7 linked regions of the Rattus norvegicus genome follow. The protein of the gene in region 7 purifies or fractionates together with the protein of the main gene of each other region. This does not show direct contact. Links are inferred from orthologs where the notes say so. Each region holds a gene or a part of one and is shown on either strand. Other genes may lie near its edges.

The links.
Region 1: the proteins of Nfkb1 (region 7) and Lrpprc purify together in Homo sapiens (affinity purification with mass spectrometry; 3 studies listed by BioGRID and IntAct, with this or other methods). This does not show direct contact. The link is inferred for Rattus norvegicus from reciprocal best matches to the Homo sapiens genes NFKB1 and LRPPRC.
Region 2: the proteins of Nfkb1 (region 7) and Spag9 purify together in Homo sapiens (affinity purification with mass spectrometry; 5 studies listed by BioGRID and IntAct, with this or other methods). This does not show direct contact. The link is inferred for Rattus norvegicus from reciprocal best matches to the Homo sapiens genes NFKB1 and SPAG9.
Region 3: the proteins of Nfkb1 (region 7) and Nfkbie purify together in Homo sapiens (affinity purification with mass spectrometry; 4 studies listed by BioGRID and IntAct, with this or other methods). This does not show direct contact. The link is inferred for Rattus norvegicus from reciprocal best matches to the Homo sapiens genes NFKB1 and NFKBIE.
Region 4: the proteins of Nfkb1 (region 7) and Rnf123 purify together in Homo sapiens (affinity purification with western blotting; 4 studies listed by BioGRID). This does not show direct contact. The link is inferred for Rattus norvegicus from reciprocal best matches to the Homo sapiens genes NFKB1 and RNF123.
Region 5: the proteins of Nfkb1 (region 7) and Aurka purify together in Homo sapiens (affinity purification with mass spectrometry; 4 studies listed by BioGRID and IntAct, counting the BioPlex papers as one, with this or other methods). This does not show direct contact. The link is inferred for Rattus norvegicus from reciprocal best matches to the Homo sapiens genes NFKB1 and AURKA.
Region 6: the proteins of Nfkb1 (region 7) and Copb2 purify together in Homo sapiens (affinity purification with mass spectrometry; 5 studies listed by BioGRID and IntAct, with this or other methods). This does not show direct contact. The link is inferred for Rattus norvegicus from reciprocal best matches to the Homo sapiens genes NFKB1 and COPB2.

Annotation. Positions count from the first base shown.
Region 1 is NC_086024.1:15,622,638-15,626,137, forward strand, and holds part of Lrpprc (leucine-rich PPR motif-containing protein, mitochondrial precursor), read left to right. Parts: intron 1-2,197; coding exon 2,198-2,391; intron 2,392-3,500. UniProt on the Homo sapiens protein: May play a role in RNA metabolism in both nuclei and mitochondria. In the nucleus binds to HNRPA1-associated poly(A) mRNAs and is part of nmRNP complexes at late stages of mRNA maturation which are possibly associated with nuclear mRNA export.
Region 2 is NC_086028.1:79,537,877-79,541,376, forward strand, and holds part of Spag9 (C-Jun-amino-terminal kinase-interacting protein 4), read left to right. Parts: intron 1-527; coding exon 528-584; intron 585-1,504; coding exon 1,505-1,678; intron 1,679-2,803; coding exon 2,804-2,933; intron 2,934-3,376; coding exon 3,377-3,466; intron 3,467-3,500. UniProt on the Homo sapiens protein: The JNK-interacting protein (JIP) group of scaffold proteins selectively mediates JNK signaling by aggregating specific components of the MAPK cascade to form a functional JNK signaling module.
Region 3 is NC_086027.1:22,945,073-22,949,165, reverse strand, and holds the start of Nfkbie (NF-kappa-B inhibitor epsilon), read left to right. Parts: upstream 1-1,293; 5' UTR 1,294-1,474; coding exon 1,475-1,851; intron 1,852-4,011; coding exon 4,012-4,093. UniProt on the Homo sapiens protein: Sequesters NF-kappa-B transcription factor complexes in the cytoplasm, thereby inhibiting their activity. Sequestered complexes include NFKB1-RELA (p50-p65) and NFKB1-REL (p50-c-Rel) complexes.
Region 4 is NC_086026.1:117,622,275-117,625,774, forward strand, and holds part of Rnf123 (E3 ubiquitin-protein ligase RNF123), read right to left. Parts: intron 3,442-3,500; coding exon 3,354-3,441; intron 3,266-3,353; coding exon 3,178-3,265; intron 3,093-3,177; coding exon 3,008-3,092; intron 1,826-3,007; coding exon 1,686-1,825; intron 1,590-1,685; coding exon 1,401-1,589; intron 1,328-1,400; coding exon of another isoform or gene 1,312-1,327; coding exon 1,236-1,311; intron 1,011-1,235; coding exon 926-1,010; exon of another isoform or gene 920-925; intron 593-919; exon of another isoform or gene 1-592. UniProt on the Homo sapiens protein: Catalytic subunit of the KPC complex that acts as E3 ubiquitin-protein ligase. Promotes the ubiquitination and proteasome-mediated degradation of CDKN1B which is the cyclin-dependent kinase inhibitor at the G0-G1 transition of the cell cycle.
Region 5 is NC_086021.1:181,550,770-181,554,269, reverse strand, and holds part of Aurka (aurora kinase A), read left to right. Parts: intron 1-671; coding exon 672-810; intron 811-3,495; coding exon 3,496-3,500. UniProt on the Homo sapiens protein: Mitotic serine/threonine kinase that contributes to the regulation of cell cycle progression.
Region 6 is NC_086026.1:108,039,428-108,043,486, reverse strand, and holds the start of Copb2 (coatomer subunit beta'), read right to left. Parts: upstream 2,801-4,059; 5' UTR 2,714-2,800; coding exon 2,711-2,713; intron 1-2,710. UniProt on the Homo sapiens protein: The coatomer is a cytosolic protein complex that binds to dilysine motifs and reversibly associates with Golgi non-clathrin-coated vesicles, which further mediate biosynthetic protein transport from the ER, via the Golgi up to the trans Golgi network.
Region 7 is NC_086020.1:226,697,463-226,700,962, forward strand, and holds part of Nfkb1 (nuclear factor NF-kappa-B p105 subunit), read right to left. Parts: intron 2,229-3,500; coding exon 2,027-2,228; intron 1,595-2,026; coding exon 1,425-1,594; intron 1,133-1,424; coding exon 1,030-1,132; intron 1-1,029.

The sequences.
Region 1 (3,500 bases), on a different chromosome or scaffold from region 7:
CTGTGGTGGTGGTGGAGGTGGTGGTGGCGGCAGTGGTGGTGGTGGTAATGTATACTATCATTTAAAGCTCCATTAACCAGGGACTGCATGGCATTGCCCTCGGCCCTCCACACATACGTTGCAGTTGTATAGCTTGGTCTTCCCGTGGGACTCCTAACAGTGGGAGCAGGGGCTGTCTCTGCTGTCGCCTGCTGCCTTTGGAACCCTTTCCTCCTACTGGGCTGCCTTTTCTAGCTCTAAGAGAAGAGGAGGTGCTAGTCTTACTGCAACTTGGTATGCCAGAGGCTGGAGAATATCTAGCCCGCCCTCTCCTGAAGAGAAACAGGTGTGATGGGGGAGTTACGGGAGGCGGGGACTAGGAGAGGAGGGAGGGGAAATGGGTAAACTGCAGCCAGGATGTAAAAAGAAGTCGTGGGTGTGCTCATCAATAGTCATCTGATTTGAGTGGCATAGAAGTCAGCAAGTTCACCTCTACTGCGCAAAAAGTTCTGCATTGTATGAATCAGTGCACGTGTTCTGAGTTATCAGTAGTTTTTGATGATTATTATAGTAATGGATAACCATAGGGGGCAATATGCATCTTCTCTGGTCTGTGGGTGATAACACCCACCTCTCCCTCCCTCTCTCTCTCTCTCTCTCACTCTCTCACACTCTCTCATTCTCTCACTCTCTCACTCTCACTCGTGCACATGATGTGCAGAGGATATCACCTTACTTGGCGATATCCCTCCCCACCCCCATAGTTTCTGATTTATTTCTGTATATATGATGGTCAGGTGTTGTGATTGTCTCTGGTCACTGGTGTAATTTCTACAACAGTATTAGTTACAGACTCTGGTTTGCATGTGACACAGCTTTTGATGCCACTTCACATACAGTCAGTTTGTGATGCAGGAAAACGGTGGCTTTGGGGACAGTGAGATCAGACCTAGGGCCTTTTGCACACTAAGCGAGTGCTCCATTACTGACTTACGCACTTAGCTCACCACCGCTGGTAAAAGGTGGTCTACAATCCAGAGAATGTGGTTATTCTGGAAGTATTTCTTGAGTTAACATTTTTAGGCATAATACTTAGTATAACAATGGCAGCTGAAAATAAGATATTTGGAGTAGATCCCCAAGAATTGCATATGTTAAAAGGTAAGATATTGAATTCACAGAAAGCCTGTCAAAATCAAAGATTTATGACAGTAATTTTTACATCTAGGGATTTTTTTTTTCTTGGTTTGTCATCAAGTACAGCATTAATTCCTATAACATGAAGCACCACTGATAACATGTTTATGAACATTCAATTGTATATTAAGCTGCATTATCAAATATTGATTTAAAGAGTTTCTTCTGGAGATATCAGTAGCTCAGATTTTTGGGGGCTTCATTAGCACGGGCCCCATCCCTGCACCGAGTAAACTGTGGTGCAGGCCTGCTAGCCCAGCAGAGGGAAAAGCAGGAAAACTACAAGTTCAAAGTTATTGTTGGTTCTTTTGGAAGTTCCAGGCCAGCCTGGACTGAATGAGTTCCTATTTCCAAAAAAAAGAAAAAAGAAAAAAGAAAAAAGATTGCTTATTCTGTAGAAACATGTATTATTCTAATTTTAGCTTATGACATCTTTAAAACTGTTTAAGCCAGAGTGCAGTTTTATTTTTGACAGTTATTACTTTAAAGACCGAGGGAAGCATTCAAACAGCGTGTTGACTCAGAGTCATGAAAGCGGGTGCCTCGGACCTAGTTATGTTCATAATGACGTAACCAAGTTATGGCCATAATAAACTTATGCCCAGACAAAACCCTGAAGGTAGTTTAGAGTTTGGAGGCTGCCTTGGCCTTTGTCTCACTCACATGAATGAGAAGAGTGCGTTATGAGCTGCCTCATTTTTCCTTCATTAAGGGAAAATAATTTTAGCTTCTTAGTTTGAGATGACTTCATGTTGAAGGTTATCAATCCACTCAGAAGCAGTGTGTGTGTTTGTGTGTGTGTGTGTGTGTGTGTGTGTGTGTGTGTATGTGTGTGTGAGAGAGAGAGATTGATTGATTGATTGATTGATTGATTGATTGATTTGCTTCAGTGTACACTTTGCTCCAGGCTTTGCAGTTTGTGTGTGGTGACTGTCGGAGCTGGTGTGGACGGGTCACACAAGCAGTGCCTGTGTAGACAGCAGTTTGCTTAGTTTATTACTAATTCTATTTCATTTCACAGAGAGCTGCTGAGCCAAGCCAGGTTGTATGCCATCGTCGCTGAAAAAAAGGATCTTCCAGAGGAGCCTGCTCCTGTGAGAAGGAGTGGCAGTCAGTTTGATTGGGCCCTAATGAGACTGGATAATTCTGTCCGGAGAACGGGCCGCATTACCAAGGGGCTTCTGCAGAAAGTCTTTGAGAGCACGTGCCGCTCAGGTATTGAGAGTTTCTCGGTAGGAAGTCGAAGCTTGTAACGGTTCCTGGAAGCTCACTGGGGAGAGCATCATTTGCTATTCAGCATCAGTTCTGATGTCAGCTGTGACTCTGATCCTGCTATGCTTCCAATTCATCCAGGCAGAATTTGAAGTAACACGAGAATATTTTGTTTAGAGTTCATTTCAGAGTCAACAAACAAAAACGTCTGTTTGCTTCCTCTGGTTTCTAGAGTTGCTCTCAGTGGTCAGCTGAGGTAGAAGACACCAGGCTTTCTCTTCTTTCTTTGTGTGGTATCAGCTTTTCCTGAGGTGACCTCAGTGAAGACTGACAGGCACCAGGTCACTTTGATCTTGGATAGTGGGACAGGAGCTGCAGACCCTTTATTCCCAGGCTTTCCCTCACATCACAACTGCAGCGAACCAACACGTATAATTTTGTGTGCAGTTGAAGAAATTCTATACACTCCCAGAGCCTGTTAGGGGTGTCCCTTTGGTATGGAGCAGAGCTTCTATGACAGTCACAGTCACATGCACTCAAGGACCAGAACCTCCCATCCACTCAGAGCTGTTCATCTGTCACAACTTTTCCATGGTCACCCTCCCCAGCCCTTCTCACCCTTTCCAGTCCTAGGCACACACAAGCTATTTTCTGCCTGCCCTCTTAGGTGCTTGCTCTGGATGGACTTATAGATAGAGCTATACAGTGCATGTTTAGTTTCTGCCCTCTTAGGCGCTTGCTCTGGATGGACTTATAGATAGAATTATACAGTGCACACTTATTTTTGTTTCGTCTTAAAGTCATTTTCAGGGACATGGAGATGAGCTTGAGTTTGATAATGATGAGTCCTTATGTGCCTTTTGTCATCTTCATGATACCGAGATGCTTAGCCTTTGGCGTGTAGCAGATACGCTTAAAAATTTGCTTTCTTTGGACTCATTAGTTTTACAGATTACGAAGTTTCATAACCTTAGGCTTCTTAAAGCAGACACTGTTAGAACTTTAAATTGTAATGTGTACTGATGATGTGGATCGGGCGGTGTTTGGGTACGGCCTTGTCTTTGTTGAGCCAGGAGGCTGTGGATAATTAAGGGATATTCTTCTTGATCTCG
Region 2 (3,500 bases), on a different chromosome or scaffold from region 7:
AAGTTTAGAGCGCAGATAAAAGAAACCTTAAAGTAAGAATAGGAATTTGTAAGAAGTATTTTAAAGAGGGAGCTAGAGTATATCTTTAATTTTTTTCTTTGCTTTTTGTTTGTTTGTTTGTTTGTTTGTTTGTTTGTTGAGAGAAGATCTTGTTCCAAACTGGCCCCAAACTTACAGTCCTTCCACCTCAGTCCTGAGTGCTGGGATTAGAGTTTTGTGCCATTACACCCGCCGTGAATGCTTTTGTGCTGTTCGTCAGAGGCCTGCTCTTGGAGTCTAGCCACTTGAAAGATGATGATGCTAAGAGGAGTTCTCGAGACTAAGACTTTAGGGCTAGTCTGAACAACAGAGTGACTCCTTGTTTCTTAGTAACAAGAAAGGGGGAAAACTTAACTATCAACATTGAGACTTACTGGTTATTTGTCTAACACTGGAATAATGCTCTGACAAGAGTCTGTAAGAAAGTCTAGCACTCTAACAAATACATTTGTTTGTTTGTTTGTTTGTTTGTTTGTTTGTACATTTAGGGCCTCCCGAGAAAATCCAGCTATGCAAGAAAAAAAAAGATCAAGCATCTGGCAATTGTGAGTATAGTAAGGACCAGAATCAGAGGTGATGCTTGGAGACAACACGATACTGACTTTTCCCAGTTGGGAGGAAATAGCTAATCCGAAATCCTTCTCTTTAATATACAGCATGCCAACTCGGTAAGGCTGTGCCTCAGGACCCAGAGTAGGCTATCGTAAGCTGCACTGTGTTGGTTATGCCTTTGTGGAATCTTCTGCTGGCTTACATAAAACCATGGGGAATTATTTATAAAATTGACAGTTACATGAATCCCCATCAAAGAGAAGATGAGAAATTTGATATTTGTACTGCTCAGTTAGTCTTGCGTGTGTTAAACTTGATTATGTTTGCACCAGAAGTACTGTCTCTTTTTTGACATTAAAACTTACCCTTTAGGATTAATCTTGTTTACTGGAAGCATAAATGTTTAAAACTGTGGACATGAAAATAGATCCTCAAGTTGAGCCTAGAAAATTCATGATATGAGTTAACTTGGTGATGTGTGTTCCCGGTGTAGCAGACCTTTCTATGCACTGCACGCTAAGCTTTGACTGTCATCACAGTCATCCCCCTGCTGCTCACTGACCACTGTGACCTTGTCCCATATAGGAGCTAGCCAAGGAGCCTTTGTATCATACTTGTTTAGTGGAAGCTTTTTGTACGCAAAAGCATCTCTTTCGTTACAGAACTTGCTTATATCTGATCTGGCATTCTAAGCAATACTTACTTTCCCCTGAGTGTCCACGTTTGGTTGTGACTGACTGCTAAGGCTGTGGTATAACTATAAAAGCGATTTTGCGAATGTCTAACTCACTGCCTCGTAAAGTTCAAACTTTCTTAAGCATAAAAGTTTATGGGAAATTGGGGCTTGGTTTTCACAGTGCATGTAATAGACATAGCTATAGGTTTTGATTGTTTGCCTCTCTTATTTTGATAGTTTCAGCCGACTTTTTAGCTCTTCAAGTAATGCAGCAAAGAAGCCCGAACCCCCTGTTAATCTGAAGTACAATGCCCCCACCTCTCACGTGACTCCCTCCGTGAAGAAAAGGAGCAGCACTTTATCTCAGCTCCCTGGTGACAAGTCCAAGGCGTTCGATTTCCTTAGTGAGGAGTGAGTATTCCGAACAGAGTGCTAGAACCGGTCACCCTTACTAACTCCTCAGTCGCTGAGAGAAGTCGACTGTTTGTAGCCAGGCATAAAGGCTTATGTTAATCCAGGACTCAGGGTGCTGATGCAGGAGATCATCACCAGTTCCTTGCCAGCCTGGTCTGTACAGACAGTTCAGGCTAGCATTGGCTACACACATAAACCTGTCTTAAGAACAAAGACTATTATTTTGCGTGTTGGGGTTATGGATAGAAGTGGAAAGAAGAAAAAAAAAGGATGGTTTCTATAGCGTGGATGGATGCTTTTAAGTAAATTACCTGTAGAGCTTAGTAATGTCATTCTAAACCTGTGGAAGCTGAGGCAGGAGGATTGTAATTTTGAGGCCATCCTGAGCCACAGGGATTTGGAGACTTTGCCCCAAAATGAGTGAATGAATGAGTGAATGAATGAATGACTTGTAGCCAGCATTTCTTGTGAAAATTGCACTTTAGGACTAGTGAACTGGTTGAGCAGGTAAGAGTGCTGCCAACCTTGGTGGACTGAGATCCATCCCGGGACCTGTGTGTCGGAAGGAGAATGCACTCTTCTGGCCTCTGAGGGCACCAGGCATGCACATAGTGCACAGACATCCATGCAGGCAAAACATTCCAAACACCTAAAGAAATAATTATATCTAAGTTTAAAAAATAATCATGAGAAATGGTGTAGAATCTAGGAGTTTAGCTTAATCACCTTCCATAACAGCTGGCATTAGAAAATTCTCAGTATTTTTTAAGAAAAGAGAGATCCCAAATTACCTCAGAAGTTTATGCTTTTAAATATAACATCTGAAACGTCATAAGTTTGATGACTAATAACTCAGTTTAATACAACATGCTGCTTATTCCCTGTTGAAGGCTGGTTTCACAAACATGGAAAAATCAGCTTTGGTATAATCCTCATGAGCGCGCGTGTGTGTGTGTGTGTGTGTGTGTGTGTGTGTGTGTGTGTGTGTGTATCTGTCTGTGTCTGTGTGTCCGTCTGTCTGTCTCTGCGTCTCGGGTACAAGGCTCCAGGGTGGAGTCAAGGATGACTCAAATGCTGGATTGTTGCATTCTCATAATTAAAACTGCAAATGTCTCCTTTTAGAACTGAGGCTAGCTTAGCCTCCCGCAGAGAGCAAAAGAGAGAGCAGTATCGGCAGGTGAAGGCTCATGTTCAGAAGGAAGATGGCCGAGTGCAAGCTTTCGGTTGGAGTCTGCCTCAGAAGTACAAGCAGGTACTTGGGGATGTGATGAGCGTGTCTAGCAGGAAGTGCACACTGAGAAGAGTGTGCTTGAAAACTGTGAACTAGAGGCAACATCCTAAATTCCTCATTGCGGCCTGCTTCGATATGTTTAGACAAATTTGGAGGATATGGTCTTTCAGGCTATTTTCTAGAGCCCTAGAATGTAGTAAACATGCCAACTCCTAAAGACTAAGCACTTTTGTTTACAAACATGCATTTACGTACACATGCATGATGGTGGTTTCTGCCTCCTGCGAGCTCTCGTGCTTACTGTCTGCAATTGCTGCTTGAGTTTTGCTTATTTTTCAAGTAAGAACGACAGAATCAGACTTGACTTGATTTCAGGAGCAAGCCTGTGACAGTAATGCTACTTATGTGTCTCAGTAGTTCTGTAATCTCAGTGTTAATGGGACTTACTGATGTGTCCCCCTTAGGTAGCCAATGGTCAAGGGGAAAATAAGATGAAAAATTTACCTGTGCCTGTCTATCTCAGACCACTAGACGAAAAAGATGCGTCTATGAAGGTAAGCTGTGACATTGAAGGAGGGACTCTCAAAC
Region 3 (4,093 bases), on a different chromosome or scaffold from region 7:
TCGAATTCTCCTGCCAAATCTGCGATCAGGGGACTTGACACAGGAGCTCTCTATGAAGATTTCCCAGGGAAATGATGCTCCCCTAAAGATAATAGGTGCATCCCTCCTAACCAATCCCCCTGAGGACTGATGAGGGGGGGTGAAAAGGCAAGAGAAGTCGAGAAAAAATAGGCAGAGGGTAGCAAGCAGAGCCCCTCCCCTCATCTGTGCTGGCTGGTCAGGTGACTTGATGGGAGTTAGAGTCATCTGAAGGGAGGGAGCCTGGGTTAAAATGCCTCCCTAGGGGCTGTAGAGATGGCTCAGTGGTTAAGAGCATTAATTGCTCTTCCAGAGGTCCTGAGTTCAATTCCCAGCAACCACATGGTGGCTCACAACCATCTGTAAATGGGATCCAATGCCCTCTTCTTGTGTGCATGAAGACAGCTACAGTGTACTTGTATAAATAAAATAAATAAATCTTTTAAAACATAAATAAAATAAAATGCCTCCCTAAAATCCAACAGGAAGGCACTTTCTTAATTAGTGACTGATGGGGAGGGCCCACCCCATTCCATTGTGGGTGATGCCGTCCCTGGGCTGGTGGTCCTGGGTTCTTTAAGAAACCAAGCTGAGTAAGCTATAGGGAGCAAGTCAGTAAGCAGGACCACGCCCCCTGGCCTCTGCATCAATCAGCTCTTGCCTCCAGGATCCTGTCCTGTTTGAGTTTCTGTCCTAACTTCCTTTGATAATGCACTATAATCTAGAAGTATAAGGCGAATAAATCCTTCCCTCCCCAACTTGTTCTCTGATCAGGATGTTTCATTGCAGCAATAGAAACGTTAAGGCACCGCCCACCAACCTACGCAAACTCCCCACAAAGTAGCCAGTTTGTGCAGAAAATCAAAAAATGCACTTTTTAAACAATCGAACGAATAAACGAATGAAGACACCGCGGAACTAAACAGAAGGAACGAATGAATGCATAGAATTAGTGAATGAAGTAAAAAGAAAGGGGAAGAGCGAGTGAATGAATGAATGAGTGAATGAATGAATAAAAAAATAAATGAATGGGCGAAACAATCAACACGAGAGTGAGAGAGTGAGTCAAGTCCGGTAACCAGAGACTCCCTGCCTACGCAAGCAGCAAACAGGGGGATTCCGGAGGGGCGGGGCTCTACCCGGAAGCGCCTTTGAGGGGCGGGGTCATGGGCGTGGTAGTGGCTTGTGGCCACTTCTTGGGCCCGGGGGCGGGGCGAGAGAGAAGACCTGACTAGGGACCCTTCAGCTGCCCAAAGCACCCGCTGCTGGAGACCTCGCCGGCGCCCTGGACCTCTCGCTTTTCTCGTCCGCTCCCCGCGCCTGCACAGCCAGGTAATGAACCCGCTCGCAGAGGGACTCTGGTTCTGTTAGGCGGACACACAAACCCGGAAAAGCGCGCCGCACACCTCAGAGTTAGATCCCGCTGGACCCTGGATCCCGGGCTGGCGCGGCCGGCATGTCGGATGCGCGGAAGGGGCCGGACGAGGCGGACGACAGCCAGTGCGATTCCGGCATAGAGTCGCTGCGCTCTCTGCGCTCCCTGCCCGACCCTGCTGCGGCCCCAGTCTCTGGATCATCGCACAGCGGCTGCCCACAGCCTTGGAGCCATGCTCCGAAGACGGACAAGGAACCAGAGGGGAAGGAAGATGCGGATGGAGAGCGAGCGGACTCCACCTATGCCTCCTCCTCTCTCACAGAGTCTTTGCCCTTGCTGGAGAGACCCGAGGCCAAGGATCCAAACCCTCCCACCCCAAGCTCGCCGGTGTCCCCCGCGGGGGTGCTGAGCCCTCAGCAACTCGAAGCGCTCACGTACATCTCTGAAGATGGAGACACGTGAGTAAACTAGCTAGGCTGAGACAGGATGCTCAGCCAGAGCCTCCTTAGGAGCTGCAACTGGTTAGGCACCCACGACCACTTCATCACCTGAGAGGATAGACTCTTCTTACAGCACCCGCCCCGGAATGGCCAGCCCCACCCCACCTACCCCCTTCTCCAAACTCCAAACTTAACCTGCAGCCTGCTTTTAAGCTGTAGTTCAGCTATAGTTTAAGCCAGGTTCAGACCAAAAAAACAGACATCATCATCTCTTTTGGGAGCGGACAGAGCTAGCAGGGCCCTTGTTACCTAGAACACCAGGCAGAATCTTGAAAATCTACCGGTGACCCACCCCGGGGAAGAGGAATTCCCCCACAACCTCCCAACCAATTCGGTTTTTGTTTTTCTTGTTGGGGGAAGGGGTGTCCCTGTTTGCTCAACATTTGGGATACCAGGGCCTGACTTCAGAACACCCTAACCAGAGGGGGAAAAATGATAACCCCAGGATTACAGGTTGTCATCTGAGCCCAGGAAGCATGGACTACGGGTACTGCTGGGTGCCTGTTTGGAATTGGTTCCAAAAGAAGGGTGGCTAGACTGAGAATTCTTGCCCCCAACAAACAGGATAGCCAGCTGCCGCCCCGGCTCACTTCCTCCTCTGCTGAGAAAAGGGAAGTAATGGCTTGGCGTCAGCCTCCTCAACACACTGCACCTCCCAAGCTCCCCAAATTCTCCTTACTGTCCTATGTTATCCCGATCTTCTCTTTCCTCCCCTAGGCCCAGCTGGAGTCAGGTGCAGCTGGGCTGGGAGGTTATCAAAGTCAGAAGAGGTGACTGGGCATTGGGGGTGATAGAGCAGGGACAGCTGGAGACCTAGATGAGGGAGATACTGGTGTGCAGGGGGATACCTGCCCTGACCTGCTTGTTGCAGAGGTAGGGGTCTCTGGTGGACACTGGCAAAGATAGTCTCAATCCTGTGATCAGGAGGAAGGTGGTAAGCCTTTTGTATTACACACACCAGTCACAAACCCTTATCACAGAACCCCAGAGTTCTGGGAGCACCACACACTTCTCAGGCCGTCCTCCACGGTTAGTCTCTGAGCTGCAGCCTTGATGAGCTCTGCTTAGAGACAGGTGCTGAAAGATTCATCAGGACTCCCCAACAGACATCTTCCCTCCTTTGGAGATGGCTGGACTGTGGGAAGTGTGGAAGTGCGAAAAGGAAGTGGGCGGGAGGAGGGGAGACTGAGGGAGAGAGGGAGGTGGCTGCAGGAATGTGACCCAGAGAGCAGGCCCTGGCCGAGGGGATTTCCAGAGTGGTTCCTCCCTCCCTCCGTCACTCTCTCCTGGCCTCCTTTACTGCCTGCCTACAGCAAAAGTTTGCCCCCGTCCTGCCTTAGTATCCCCCTCCCTAGCCCAGACAGCCTTTAGCCAAGTTGCCCCAAGGCAGCTGTCCTAGTCTAGACCATCTAACCCTGGCTTTCGTTTTCCCCACCTGATGTGGGGAAACCCCAAGACTGGAACTTCCCATCCCAACTGCCCTGGCTGGCCCTAACTTATGCTCCCCATCAAACCCATTTTCTGCACTGCACCGTACTCCTCTTGGAGCTGTACCTAGGAGAGGGTTTGTGGCCAGACCCCATATGGCTTGTGCAGGCTGAGGAATGGCCCTCTTGACTAGTGGGTAAGGCAGCAAGCAGTTTGCAATGCCACGCTGGCTCCTTGGAATGTGTGACATTGAGTTGCTGGGGGAACCCCACGTCTGCCTCCTCCCGTCCTCCCTGTTGTGGGGAGGTGGGGAGCTCAGCCCTGGAAACCCCCTGTGTTCCTCCAGCACCTTTCAGTTTAGCTTTGAGCCGCAGCTGGCCTGACCTGGCCCCCGGGGGCAGAAGAGAAGCTGGGTGTAGGCAAGTTGGACAGGAAGGCCCGTGTTCTGTCAGCACCCTGCCCACATGCCCACCCAGCCAGGGCCCTCCACAGGTCCAGCCATCTGAACTTGGAGCTCCCACCTCCAGAATCCTGGCTTCCTGTACCAACCCCTCACTTCCTGGCCCAGACTCTCACTTCCTGCACCTGCTTGGTTGTGGGTAGCTAGAGGTTGAGGCATTCATTCTAACCCCAAGATGCCAGCTTATCCTCTCTGACCTGGACTCTGACCCCAGTCCTCTCCTGCTCCAGGCTGCTCCACCTGGCAGTAATCCATGAAGCCCCATCGGTACTATTCTGTTGCTTGGCTTTCCTGCCCCAGGAAGTCCTGGAT
Region 4 (3,500 bases), on a different chromosome or scaffold from region 7:
TGTCCCATTATGATTATAGACCAAGCCAATCTGGTGAGAGCCCTTGTATCAGAGTCTTGGGACCACCCCCAGGAGTTAATGCAGACATCAGGGTGTGGTATGGTATGGAAAAGTCAAACATACACTGCCCCGCCCCACCCCGCCCAAGGCAGGAGATGGCAGTTCAGGAGACCCAGCTCCCACTCTATGACAGAAGGAGGAAATGAGCCCTCTACCTTCTGAAGAGGACCCAGTCTACTGCCTCCGGCCTCCTGGAGGCTGAAAGTCTCCTGTGGAGTCTGCTGGGCATGCATCCCTCCTACAGGATGCCCCTGCAGGAGTAGCCCTGCTGTCTTCAGCCAGAGGCAGATCCAGTCCCTTGGGCTCATAACCCAGCAGGAAAAAGCACAGATAGGTGACGCGTCTGGCTCTGGAGAGCAGAGGCCTCGCAAGGACTGGCACTCAACCTAATGGCTAAACAGAACCCTCAGTCCATGCCTCTGGCACTCCCACTGCAGGTGGTGAAGATGGTCTGAGCCTCTCCCACGATGAGCTGACAGCCCTGTCCTAGATGACTGCTAAGGCGTTTTGTAATAAAAGTGGTTCATGCTCACTGCTGGGCTTTCCCAGGTCGGTAGCTTTGTGTGCTCAGCTCTTGATCCAGCAGGATGGCCCTGACCATTAGAGAATAGCACATCTTCCAAGTTTGGGGATTTATGCCCCCTGCAGGAGGCGTGGCTGAAAGCTAAGACCTCCCACCCAGCCACGGGCAGTTGATGTTGACGCCTGTTAAAGCAGTTTACACATCACCTGGTATTCCTTGCCTCAGGGTCCCAAAATTGATTCTGATTTTGAGACAATTGGGTACCATGAGGCTCTGCCCTATCAGCCCCTCCTCAAAGTGCACACCCAGTTCCCACGAGAGCCAACAGTCCCCAGTACTCACTCTGAGGATGGACCGTGTGCCAGGAGGCGTACCAGGATGCCGGTCACTGCCACCAAGATAGGGTAGTGGTCCACACTCTCCAGCCCTAAGGGAGGGAAGGAAGATTAACCACTTATGTTGGTTCTGTGGCAGAGGCTTCAGGCCTGGCTGATACCACTGGCCTTTCCCACTGTTTTTCCTACTTAAGGCAAGCTGAGGCTGGGAGTGCACAGCATGGATGTCCTGGTGCTGAATGGAGAATCTAGCACAGGCTCCTGGCAGAGAAGCTAAGGCCTTGGTGTGCTGAGGTGCAGGGCACCTAGATCCTTACCAGGTAGCCGCAGCGTGACTACACGGTCAAACAGGTTCCTCTCAGCTGTCACCCGGTTCAGCACCTGGTTCAGCAGCTGTGAGGGCAGAAGCCTATTGGTGGGTGGGCAAGTGCACCACCTGAGTTATCCCCGGGGTCCTTCCCTCCTCGTCCAGATGGACACACCTGTGCAAGACGCCGAAGCAGCATCTCAGAGGTAGGGCGGGACCAGTCAAGGAAGATTTCAGGGACCAGTGTGATGGTCATTTCCAAGACGCGCAGCAAGCTGACTGACAGGTCGAAGCAGGTGGCACAGACCTTGAGCTGCCGGCTGTCCACAAAGTTTCGCTCTAGGCGTTCAGCAGCCTGTTGAATCTAAACCACCAACAGGCAGCCAGGTAGCAATCAGAGAGAGGCTTTGCAGCACTGGTGTGCCTCGGTCTCTGCCCACCCCTCCCCACCACAGCCCACCTCCTGGATCATGCCGATGAACTCAGAGAAGGCCCAGTTGAGCTGGTTAAGGACGCTGTTGAGGAAGCTTGGTGCCACATCAGAACCTTGTCGCAGAAGGTCTGCCATGTGCTGCTGTAGCAAGGTTGAAGGGCAGGGCTCTGGGGACAGAGGAAAGCAGTGTGACCAGGGACTCCACGACAGGACTCCTGCCTGTCCTCCTGGACCACTGCTTTAAGAACAAAATGATGACTGCCTAAGAATATTCAGATCACGAAGGCCGAGGAACGGCACAGTTTGGCTTGAGAGTTTAGGAGCAAGTGTGTCTCCCTCTTGCTGGGCAAGCCAAAAGCTGCAGGTGTTTCCAATACTGTCATACCCCATGGGCCGAGAGCTGCGGGCCTGGCCTGAAGCACGTTCTGAATCACATGCCTGTCGGGCAGATGTCAGATATAGACAAGACAACCCTGACTGTTCGCACTAGTGTCAAGGCTGGCTTCATAAAGAGCCCAGACCCTGCCCTGCTGTCCTCTGCTGCCCTTGGTCTGGCCTTGGCATTTGGCTTAGGTGTTGAGCGCCAAGTCTGGGCTGGAAGGGCAGCAGTAACCAGAGCTCTCCGCTGCAGCTGGCCCGACATACCTCTCCAACCCTCTGATGCAAATCAATAGTTCCTGCACACAGGGATGGTATCGGGGCCCATTGCCCCTCCCCCCTTGCAGCTCAGGTCCATCCTAGAGTCCAGGTGAGGGTATTCAGCAAGGAAGGATTTGCTGTGTGAGTCTGCACAAGACTTTTGACCTCTCTGGAAACATGCAGAGACCAAGACACTGGCTGCAAGGAGTGTGATGAGCCCTCTCTGCAAGCTACACAGCACCCGGTGAAGGCCCTTGGGCTAAGGACACTTTGAGAGCCTCTGTTCTTAGCCACATCTATGCCCCCTCTGCGTCCTGATCAGTTTCTAGCTTGTGCCCCCTCTTGAATCAAAGGTCCAAGGCCAGAAGATAACAAAGAAGGAAGAAACACTTCAGGGATATGGCTGGGAGTAAAGAGGCAGGCAGAGGGGAGTGAATAAAATATGTCCCTACCCACTATGAGTTTCCGCCAAGCTGAAGGGGTCCTTCCATTGTTAACCCTTCACTACCAGCCCAAAGGGAACAAAAGCTCTCATCCTGAAGCATCCCTGTGCTAAGAGGGAGGAAAATGGGGGCCTGAGGGGAAGGTTAGGAGCCTGACACAAGCCCAGGCAGGAGGCTTGGAGAAGACTCAAGGGCAGTGAGAGTAGCAGGAAAGGGGTACTGCCTGTCTGGGGCTGTCTCCAGGGCTAGTCTAATCTGAATACTCACTTTGGAGGCTTGGCAAATTAGCATCCTCTGGCTTGGTTTTCAGCAGATGTGGCAGCCGTGTGTAGCGGTACCCAAAACCACAGCCCTGCGGAGTTAAATAGTCGGGAGTCAGGGACAGGGTGGCATCTCCTTCCCGCAGTCCTTAGCTACTGCCCTCAGGTCAGGCTTACCCTCCAAAGCCGCACCAGGATCCAGTTGGTCTGGGCCCAGGGTCGTTGCTCATAGGGGGCCAAAAGGTTCCTCACCATGGCGATGCGCCTAGGAAGGAAGGTGAGGGATGGCAGGTATAGAGTGAGGCTGGGCATGGTGCTGTCCAGAGGGGTACATATCCCCCCAAGCTACTTACTGCTCCTCGGGGATCCGTTCCACGGCCCGCAGGGAATGTGGGTAACACACGTAACTGGCCAGGGCCTGCATCAGCGAGTCTCGAATGTCTGTCAGGATATGCTAATGCCTTAGCAAGCTTCTGGCATGGGCCGAGAACCCCAAGGCT
Region 5 (3,500 bases), on a different chromosome or scaffold from region 7:
GGAGGAGCTGGGGAGCCGGACAGCGCCCCACCCAGCTTGCCTCAGGCCACCACGGGAATGGTTGAATCTGACATTTCCATACACATAGGTGATGTGGCCCCCAGGAAACACTGCTCAAGGGCTTAAAGTGAGCAGTGTGCTTGGGCTTGTTCAGCAGGAGGGGATTTGAGAAAGACTGGATGAATCGGTGGCTTTGGTTTTCCCTTTTTGCTTTCCGTGTTTCCAAGTTTGACACAGGTGCCAATCCTAGGCTCTGGTGTCCTCCGCTTGTCTGGCTTGCTTGCCATCACCTGGCAGGGTGCCGACTGAAGCAGTGAGTGGTGCTACTTGGCACCCACGCACTGCCACCCTGTCTGCTGTGGGTGCTTGTCCTCCTCCTGCACAGAAGCACTTTCCTCCTCAACACGCAGAGAGAGACTGGTGTCAGCCGACACTTCCCACTAAGAATAAAGATGTCTAAAAGGAGCAGTGAGAACTAAGTTTAAGATCTGCTTGTATTTCACGTCCATGTGGGCAGATGGTTAAGGTGTCTTTTTCTTGGCTGGGCTCAGATCTGGGTTCAGACCTCGTGTGTGTTCTGTGACACCTGTTGTCTTTATTTCTTGAGGGGTCAGCAGTCCCTGCTGGACTGGCTCTGAAGCCAGGTGTCACAGTTGTTGTTTCTGTTGCAGGCACCCCAACATCCTCAGGCTGTATGGGTATTTCCATGACGCCACCAGAGTTTATTTAATTCTGGAATACGCGCCCCTTGGAACAGTATATAGAGAGCTTCAAAAACTCTCCAAGTTTGATGAGCAGAGAACAGCTACCGTAAGTGCTCACCCTCCCTCGTTCTCCTAATGTGCCTTCTTGATGGTGGAGTTGGCCTGCGTTCGGAGAAGGGGCTTCACAGGATCAAATATTTGAAACAGGAAAGTCAAGGCAGCTTAGTTGCCTCTAGACGGTTATTGGCGAGCTTGAGCTCTAGCGTGTGCGTGCGCGCGCGTGTTTTTTTGAACACAGTTTCTGGTTCCCACACCTTATTTCTCATACTTTCTTTATAACTAAGCGATCCTGGCGCGTGACTGGTGTGCTAAAGCCCACTCTTCAGAGAGCTTCTGTGTTCTTTGTGACCAGAAAGGGTGTGGGTATGAGAAGATCTTGGTTTAAAGTGTGATTTTGTCACGTCACCATTGTGCATTTGTAATGTAATGCTCCCTAGGTGGTAAGCTAGTTTCTTGGGTGGCCTTTGTCCTTCTACCTAAAGTCAGTGTCCGCCTTCCCATGCTGGCCTCTCACAGCCAGTAAGCATGCTCTCCCCGGGAGAGCATGGCGTGTGACTTATTTGGCGCTGTGTGACAGGAGACCCCTCCTGCTGTAGTCTTTTAGGTTTATGTCATCCGTGTGGATATTTTGCTTGCTTTTTTCTCTGTTCCCATAGGCCAGAGCAGGGAGTCAGATTCCCTGAACTAGGGTTTTTCAGATGGTTGTGAGCACCCATGTAGGAGCTGGAAAGTGGATCTGGGTCCTCTGCAAGGGGAGCCAGTTTCCCTGTCTGTAACTTGAACTGCAGAGGACTTGTTTTGTGTTTGGCCAGCACTGCTTTATTGTGTCCCTGGACGCTCTTCCTGGTTTCCACATAAACCACCACTGCGGGGCTTTTGGCTGTGTGTGCTTTGTTCTGGTGCCGAGTACTGGCCTCATTTTACTTGCAGGCCTGGTCCTAGAAGCAGCCATTTCTTCCTTAAGGATCTCGGCTCCTTGGTGGAGAGTGTTACTAGAACTAAGGACTCCTGGGAGCTCTCGCTGCTGGGATGTTGTTGCTTCTAGGTCTTCAGCTGGGGAGAAGGATCATGCGTGTGTTTAGTGACCAGTATTCGTCCGTCTTGAGCTCATCCATTGTGTGTGGGACATTGTGGACACCCCCCTTTTTGGACTTCACTGTACACTGCACCCCAGCAGCACCCACTGCCTCTCTTTGCTATGCATTCCAGTGTGCCTGGGTCTCACTGTGGGCCTGTGCCATTTGGTGACAGTTTGTCATTCCACACAGCACTCCTCGGGCACTTGCTGCCATGGTTTTGGGCATCAGTGTTTCTGACAGGTAGTCATCTCTCTGTGTTGGTCTGTTGTTTCCAGGGCATGTGACATTGGCTATTTGCCATTTATGCCTTGTCATTAGATGCCTGTATATCTCTTCCTCATTGTTGTGTTGTAGTTCCCTTAGCTCCTGTCCTGTGTGTCCTTCCTGCAGGTGTCTCCTCCCAGTCTGAGTTCTCCCTCTCCCAGCTCCTGCCCTGTGTGTCCGTCCTGCAGTTGTCTCCTCCCAGTCTGAGCTTTTCCCTCCTCCCTTCTCAAGGTGGTTTTTGGCTTCTTGTCCTTAAAGCACGGCAGTTTACTTTTTTTTAAAACCCTGTCTGCTTCCTACATGTTGGAATTAAAGGCTGCCATCATGCCCACCTGACTTGACAGCAGCCCCCATTAATTGGCCATTAATAAGAAATCATATCACTGGACTGTCTTGACCAGTCATCCAAGTACTGGTCTGGAGACTTTATCATATACAGCTTGGCCTTAGCTTGGGCTTGCTCCTGACTAGCTTGTACAGCTTACACGGGCCCACTTTTACTAATCTGTGTTGTGCCGCACGACTGCGTCCCTCTTATGCAACCAGTCCTGGTGCCTGTTTCTTCCTCTGCTTCTGACTCGAGAGCCCCCCACACTCAATACTTTTATTGAGTTCCTGTCTCTGCCTGGAAGTCCCGCCTGTCCTTTCCTGCTTTGCCATAGGTCGTTTGGTTCTTTATTAAAGCAATTAGAAGGATGATGGAGAAGAATGTTTATAAAGCATTGAGACAGCGATGCTTCATAAACAACAATACCAAAGCCTGATCTTGTTCTCCTTTTGGGAAAGCAAAGGTTTTTTGCCAATCATGCCTTGTTACACTAGAGCTGAGGTGGTTCGTGCATGCTGAGTAAGTGGCCACCACTGAAGTCCACCTCACCCCAAGTCTGGGGAGGCTCCACAGGAAGCAAATAGAAAGACGGGTTTGCTGGAAAACGCTCACCACTTTCTGTCTTTTCGTACTTACCTTTCATGTCGATTAAAACTTAACGGAGTTATCCTGAGTGTCCTGCTATGGGATGCAAAGCAGACCTCGGGGCTGGCAATAGATTCCTCAGATCTGGAGGCCGGGAGCTCAAGGTCTGCACCTGGTCAGGGCCGTTAAAATGTCTAAAGATTGCTGAAGCGTTCCATTGCTAGCTGTGCAGTTCTGTAAGTCAGTTTACAGCCAGTGCCTTCCCTGCCTCTCAAGATTTCATTACTCGTGCAAGCATCGTGTTAGCTTGGCCCTGAGAGAGTCTGTCGATCTGTATCTGCTATGCAGACTCACCCCTTTTTTTGCTTCAAGACCTGGAAAGAAACACACTAGTCTATGTTGGATCAGCTTTGAGTTGCCCGACTGCCTTACATGAGCCTGACCCCTGAGCCTCCTGTGCTCTTTTTCTCAACAGTACAT
Region 6 (4,059 bases), on a different chromosome or scaffold from region 7:
AAATTCAAAACATCAACTACGTCACAATTTCATGTCCATGCATGAGTGCTGTACCAGAAAATGTCATTCATGAAACTGTACTAATCCTAAACCATAATATTAAATGAGCTCTTTAAAAATAATCAGATGGGGAGGACATTTAAACTGTAGACAAGTAGTAATGCCTGATCAATAAGGGTTTACTCATGTTCATAAAGGTCTTTTGAATGTATAGAAACATACTGAAAAGTAGAACAATTTTAAACAAATTAAGCCATTAAATAGTAACAGTTTAAAACTGCCCCTTTCCAGTTAGACTCCTTCTCTGAACCGCAGACCAGAAACTGATTTGAGTGACTGTGTTCCGTTTCTCCTAGGGATGCCACCACAGAAGAAAAGTTAATTCGTTCAAAGATGCCCTGGAGCACTCTCTCTTATCCGCGCAGGTCAAATGCATGTCCCCTTCAATAAGCCTAATGCACAGCCTGAAAGCTTACTGGCCAGATGAGTCTCTGTGCTAGTGTCTTGTGCTGTTCTGTAACAATCATGAATTCAACAGAAATCTAAGGTTGCTTCTAAGCACAAATTGAGGATCTGGCAGAGATAATATCCTGAAACAAACACCTAACAAGGCGTTTATTCACCTCTTTTTGTGTCTTTGTCTACTTCTAACTTCTTTGTCTACTTCTAACTTCTTCCATGTTTGCCTCCCTCACTTTCAAAAACAACATTAGGACGGTGTTTTCTCTCTTCAGCTTTCTTGAGAACTCCTCCACTGCTGTGTGGTCCTGCCTATCTCTTATATACTCAAGCCACTATCTTCAAATCACATGCTAATTTCAGGAAAACAAACCTTTTCAATGATTTCTGAATTTTTGCCCCACTGACTACTGACATGGATTTTAACTACTTCTTTGAGCCAACAACAAGCAGGAAGTATATTATGCCAGGAGCCATAGTGGGTCTTCAACATAACATAAGCCACATATCCAAGTAAGTATGTGTGTGTGTGTGTGTGTGTGTGTGTGTGTGTGTGTGTGTGAAATAGGATTGTGAGGATAAATCCTAACAATGTTTTTAAATTGATTTTTCAAAATGGCCAGGGATCTCTGAACTATCTAGTCTAGCTGCACATACTCCAAGCAAAGACACCCATTTTAAAATGTCCATTACTGCAGGCAAGAGCTCCTGGAGTCATACTTACCATCTCAGTCATGATTAAAAAAAAAAAAAAAAAAGACATCATACCAGGTCTTAGATGATTAACCTACTCACACTGCATCCTCAACTCCAGACTTAGTTTAAATGTTGCTGCCACCACTACGCCCTCTCTGATTGGCCTAGCCAGAGGATTCCCCCCCCCCCCCCCCCCCCCCCCCGTTTATAGTACATCCACATGCACAGCTCTTCTTGCTTGTGGAGTGGATTATTTCTTAAGGGCCTGCCTCAATGCTTATCCAGGTCCTTCTCTCCACACCGTATTTACTTGGGAGCAGGGGAGGAGCAGGTAGTATAACTGAGATCCACACTACATTCAAGCCTCATCTGCAGCTCTCAAGTCAGACATACAGTATTAAGCTTAATTAGCCTCCCAGGTTTGGCTTGTATAAATGGGGATAATAATATCTCTCTTAGCATTCCGAGATTTAAAATCAGAGTTCAGTTAGAGCAGACCAGAGCAAGGCTTACAGGAACCACCATAAACATTACTCATAATTATCTACAGGCTGCTGTGACAATCAGCTGGTAAATGTTTAGCAAAATACAGGAGAGTGAGTTCTCCTATGGTGAGTGAGCAAATAAATAAATTCGTGTTTTGTACTTTTTACCGGAGACTTAAAATACAGTCATCCTTTGGTGCCTGCACATGGTTCCAGTACCCTCCACCAAACCAAAACCCTCAAGTTCAGTTATTTTAGTGCTTATAATCTACCCATGACTCCTGGTCATCTCTACATTAGTTACAACACCAATACAGGGTCAAAGTTGTAAAGAGTTGTTGTATATTATCACAAGGAGAAAAAAATAACAGCACATGTTCACACAATAGTTTTCCCCAAATGTCTTCCACCAAAAGCTGGTTCAATTTGTGGGTATGGGACTCACATACCTTGAAGAATGAAAGCAAGGTTTCACTATTAAAAATATGTCTCAAAATGAAATGAGGCAGATCTAAGGGCCTTTCCCCAAAATACCATCCTCTGTGAGCCTAGAAGGCCCAATCAACACCAGCTAGAAAACGCCGAACTGGGCCGCCAAAGCATTTGAAATTCCGCCTCTGATTCCACATACATTTAACTTTTTCCCCCCTCTGCTTAAGTTTGCAATTTGGTGTGTGCACACTATCAAACACCGCGCGCAACCTGGATTAGCAAACATCACTTCAATGACAGAATGAAGTGACTTTGTCAAAGTAGCCTTTGTCGCCCGACTCCTACCTCTAGCATTTACTTGCACTACTGGACCCACTGCAGACTGCAGGTGCACTGACAGGAGCCCTGACTGCCAGGAGAGTCGGCGGCAGCTAACTCGCAGACACCCCCCTACACTACCGTGTAACCACGGCAGCCTCCCAGTCTGGCCTTCTTCCTCCCAGGACTCCCAACGGGACAGGAGGACCCCGCCAGGCCGCAGCAGCGCAGACCGCTTCTAACTACGGCCCCTAGCCCGGAGGCCCCGGGAACCCCGTAGCCGGTAGGCTCCACTCTCTGTCCTTTGAGGCTCGACCTACCATGGCTCCGATTGTCCGAGCCCCAGCCTCTCACAGGCTCCGAGCGACACTGGTACTCAAGAACACACAGACCCACGGAGCAGTGGACCCACTGACGTGGAACTTCCGGGAAGCGGCTCTCGCGACACTCGGAACCAGGCTCTGCGCCTGCGCAAATTCTCCGTAAGGCAATCTGCGCGTAGTCCCGCCCCAGTTTCCTAGGTAACGCGGCCTTCCGCGTCTTCTGCTGCGGAGCTGTTGAGTTGGCTGTTCCGTGTATTGCTGAGGTTAGGATAGGGCGGTGACCAGCGGCCATCGGGCAGTTTACCTGCTAGCAGGTTCAGAAAGCTAAGAAGATGGAGCACGGTGCTGAATTCCTGCTTAACGCCGGCAACAGCGATGGGGCCCGGAAGCCCTATCCGAACAACATGAGCCTCTGGCGGAGAAAAGAAGGCTCTGAAACAGTGTACTCCAGCGGGCTCCGGAACGGGGCCCAGAGCGGTGTCTGGTTTGGGTGATACCGACCGAGGCGGAAGAGATGTAGGCACGTCTCCCGCCTTTGAAGCTCCGAGGAGTCCTGAGATCTTGGTTCTGGATCCTCCCGGAGTCAGTCGAGTGATTGCCCTTCAAAAAGCATCCTCCTGGTCGTTTGTGTGGTTACAGCTGAATGTATAGCCAACACCACACAGGAGTCGTTTCCATTTTATTGATTAGGAAAGTAAGGCTCAAGGAACTTGGGTTTACTGGCCAAGATGACATAGTAAGCAGTGTTGTTAGAATCTGGACTCAGGGGGATAAGCCCTGGGAGCCCCGTGCTCTATCTGTTACGCCAAAGCAGCTCTTTAATAAGTTCAATTTCAGAAAATATCACGCCCTAAGAATCGCCAGGAAAAGTGCAAATGCACTGTGTACCGATTTCCACACACACACACACACACACACACACACACACACACACACACACACACACCTTTTAAAAAGCAAATGCTATGAAACAATGGAACTTGCCCTTTGCTGCTTATAAACCTCTGGTGGAGAAAAGCCTAGGTTTCCAGAAAGGAGGTGTTTTCATTAGTTCCTGGCTCTTGGGAGATTTATGCGCCTCGATTTTCATGTACAAAAAGTTGGGTAGTTTCCAAAGATCCACCTTTACTCTTTTGTCTCAGTAAAAACAAATTTTCTCTCAGTAATGAGATTTTACGTGAGTGAGATGAATAATCACATAATTGCACACCGTGCAGTAACCAATTGCAAAGCTCAGTTGAAAATGTTTTAAACGTGAACTATAATCTAGTGTGGTAGAATAGTGGAGCTAATATTTTTGATTCCTTAATTCTTGCATTTTTGATTTGACACAGTATCAATAAGTA
Region 7 (3,500 bases):
ATCTTGGTTTGGCCTGGAACTATGTAGACCAAGGTAACCTAAGCTTGTGGCAATTCTCCTGCCTCAGCTTTCTAAAAGTTGAGATTTCAGGTGTACGTCACTATGTCTGACTAAGAGACAACATTTTTTTTTTCTCTTCAGCATAGTAAGTGATTTCCAAAATGACTCACGCACAACACAACCAGGGCCTCTTTGCCTGAATCTGTGAAGAGTGTGTCGTCCACAAATCTTCCCTTATCAACCTCTGAGGTAAGTCAGGTTATGTCTGGACAGGCCCGGAATGCCAATCTCACCCACCATGTGTTAACACTAAACACACTAGGCACTGGAGACAGGAGCTGAGCTGCAATGTCTCCCTGTGCTTTACAGGACTAGGGAGCTAACCAGAAGAACCCAAGAACCCCAGGCCAACTGAGAGGAACACTGTGTGGAGGATAAGTCTGCAGGTTGGGCTGTGGCGCTGTGACTCACAGCTCTCTGAGACACTGGGAGTGGGGCTTGATCACCTCTCCAGTCTGCCTACTTGGATCTAAGATAGGAATAGCAACATGTCTTGTCTCAGAGTTACTGAGGATTACGTGTGCTAAAGGAGGCTGCATGTGAGATGTCAACACGGTGCCTGGAACACAGGAAAGGCCTCATGCACAATAATACGAATACATGGCCCGTTTGCTTTTCCTACGACTTTGGCTTCTAGGAGACTCTTTTTGCAAAAGGAAGTCTTTAGATATGTTCCTTCTGGGAGACTTGTAATAGGACCAGAAACTGACAGAGCTTAAGATTTTATAGTCACTGAGTCAACCTGAACAACCCGACATAGACAGCTAACCAGGGGGAGGAAACTAACACAGGTGTCAACCCCAGGTTATCAGGCCACACTGAGCCTCACTGCAGCTGAAGTGTGACCAGCCATGCGGTTTTCATTTACCCAGGCTTCCCCAGAGCAGAAGTGCAGCTTCCAAAGGCAGCATTGCACTTGCAGGCAGAGTTTGCTTTGCTGATGTCCATCAGTGACCAGCAGCATCTTACCTGCTGCTTTGAGAAGAGCTGCCAGCCTGGTGGACCCTCTTCCAGCTGCTATGTGTAGAGGTGTCGTCCCATCGTAGGTGGTGCTGTCCACGAGGGCGTCACCCTAAACCCACCCACAAAGAGAGAGTTAGCAGAAGGCTCATTTGTCTACCTCCATATCTCCATGGATCCTCAGGTTATATTGTTAGCCCAATTGCTAGACTGAGCTGGCTCTGTCACTGGAGAAGTCCCCCAGTTAGGGAGCTGGGCTGGAGGTGGGGACGCAGGAAGTGGCCTCTCTGAGCACCAGCAGATGCCAGGCAGAGCTGAATGCTGACAGCACAGCTGGTCCTAGCGTCACTCTTTGCAAAGTTCCTTGAGGGCGTTTAGTTCAAGATCACAAGGGCGTCCTTTACCTCCAGGAGCAGGCAGCCGGCCAACGAGATGTTGTCGTACTCCACGGCCAGGTGCAGTGCCGTGCGCCCAGACTTCTGCTCCTGAGCGTTGACTTCTGCCCCAGCAGCCACAAGCAGCTGCAGACATGACAGGCTGTTGCTCATCACAGCTATGTGAATGGCATTCAGACCTAAGGCCAAGCAAAGGCAGAGATGTGGGCAAGGTTGCCAGAGCTGGGCTGTGGGGAGGAGGGACACCGCCAGGTCACGGCACTTCCGGTTTTTGTTCAGGGCTTGCTTCAAAGGCTCAGAAGGTCCACTGTTCTGTTTTTAGAAGCCACGAGCTCCTATTGTGCTCACGGGAGACAATGAGCTACCAAATAAACATTCTCCACATATGTGATGCTTTCTGTAAGACTAGTGTTTGCCCAGGCCTGCTTTCCCACTTACTAAGTAACTTTCCCGAGTCATCTTTAAGGGTAAACAGCAGAAATAACCACGACATCTGAGGAACTCCGGCTGGCAGAGGGGAGTATGGTGAAAGTCAGATACATTTACCAAATGCCAAGCTCTTCTGCAGCAGCCGGCAGGGGAAGGTTAGCCAGCAGCGTGACTGCCCTTACCTTCCCCGTTGGGGTGGTTGATAAGGAGTGCTGCCTTGCTGTTCTTGAGTAGGACCCCGAGGATTTTATCATGTCCTTCTTTGGCAGCTAGGTGCAGGACAGAGTTGCCCCAGCGGTCCAGAAGACTCAGGTCAGCCCCAACCCTCAGCAAGTCCTCCACCACATCTTCCTGCTTGGTGATCACGGCCAAGTGCAAAGGTGTCTACATAGAGAAGGAGCAGGAGAGCCGTTGGTTATGAACATCTGTAACCCCTGGCTTCAGAACTATGCCATGGAGTCACGCTGCAGGGACATCTGTCATTCAAGGGGCTTTCTGTTCCACATGCCAGGCTCAAAGGCCCAAGAAGGGCACCAGCATCCAACAGTCAGGGTTATAGAATAAACTTAAAATGCTTAGTAGTTTTACTAAATGATTTTTTAAGCCATGTAGAAGTAAAATTAAGCTTTTTTGAATTTCTGATAGGAATCTATACCTGGTAATTCTACACATTGTCAAATCCAACCAATGCTGTGTTTTTTTTTTTCTTTAAGATTCATTTATTTATTATATATAAGTACATTATCGCTGTCCTCAGACACACCAGAAGAGGGCACCAGATCCCATTACAGATGGTTGTGAGCCACCGTGTGGTTGCTGGGATTTGAACTCAGGACCTCTGGAAGAGCAGTCAGTGCTCTTAACCACTGAGCCATCTTTGCAGCCCCCAATGCTGTGGTTTTAACAAGGAAATGTAAATACACTATTAAAAGAAAGCAATCAAGAAAGGGGCCGTCCTTCACAATAGTATGGAAATACACATGCTAAACCAGAACACGGTGCTACAGGCTGGCTTCAAGAGAGCCACAGTTACAAGCGATACTGCCGTGCTACCAAAGGTATTGCCGGGTTCTCCTTGGCACAGCCACCCAATACAACACTCGCCCCAAGAAAGCTCAGGCGGAAAACAACCCCAGCTACTGTGCATAAAAGGCACAGGAAAGTCTTTCTGACTACCCTGACTACAAAGTTGTGCTTCCGTGGGTGTAAGGAGGATGCATGGAAAACTGTTTTCAGAAACGAGCAAGGTCAACACAATCATGAAAGTGTCCGTCAAAGAACTGAGGTCACTGATGGAGAGTGACACCTTTCAGTGTCAGCCAGTCTGTCTCGCTGGAGCTTTACAGTGAACTCCAGGCTGCGTAGTGAGGACTCCCATTCAGGGAATAATTAGTTCCCGCTGGAGAGGCAGCGGCAGGTGGGCCACCAACACAAATCACCACGGTGATACTTTAGGTGTCTAGATCTTAACCCCTAGGATTGTATCTTAAACTCGTATAAAATGTGTGTCTCAAGATATCCCTAGAATCGATCTGTGGAGCTCAGTGTTCAAACTGTCCTAGTAACCCGCTTCTGTCACAGATGGACAGGTAGGCATGGTGCAGGTGCTTACTGCAGCATTCTCCTCAGAAGCAATGAGAACAAACAAGCTGTCCA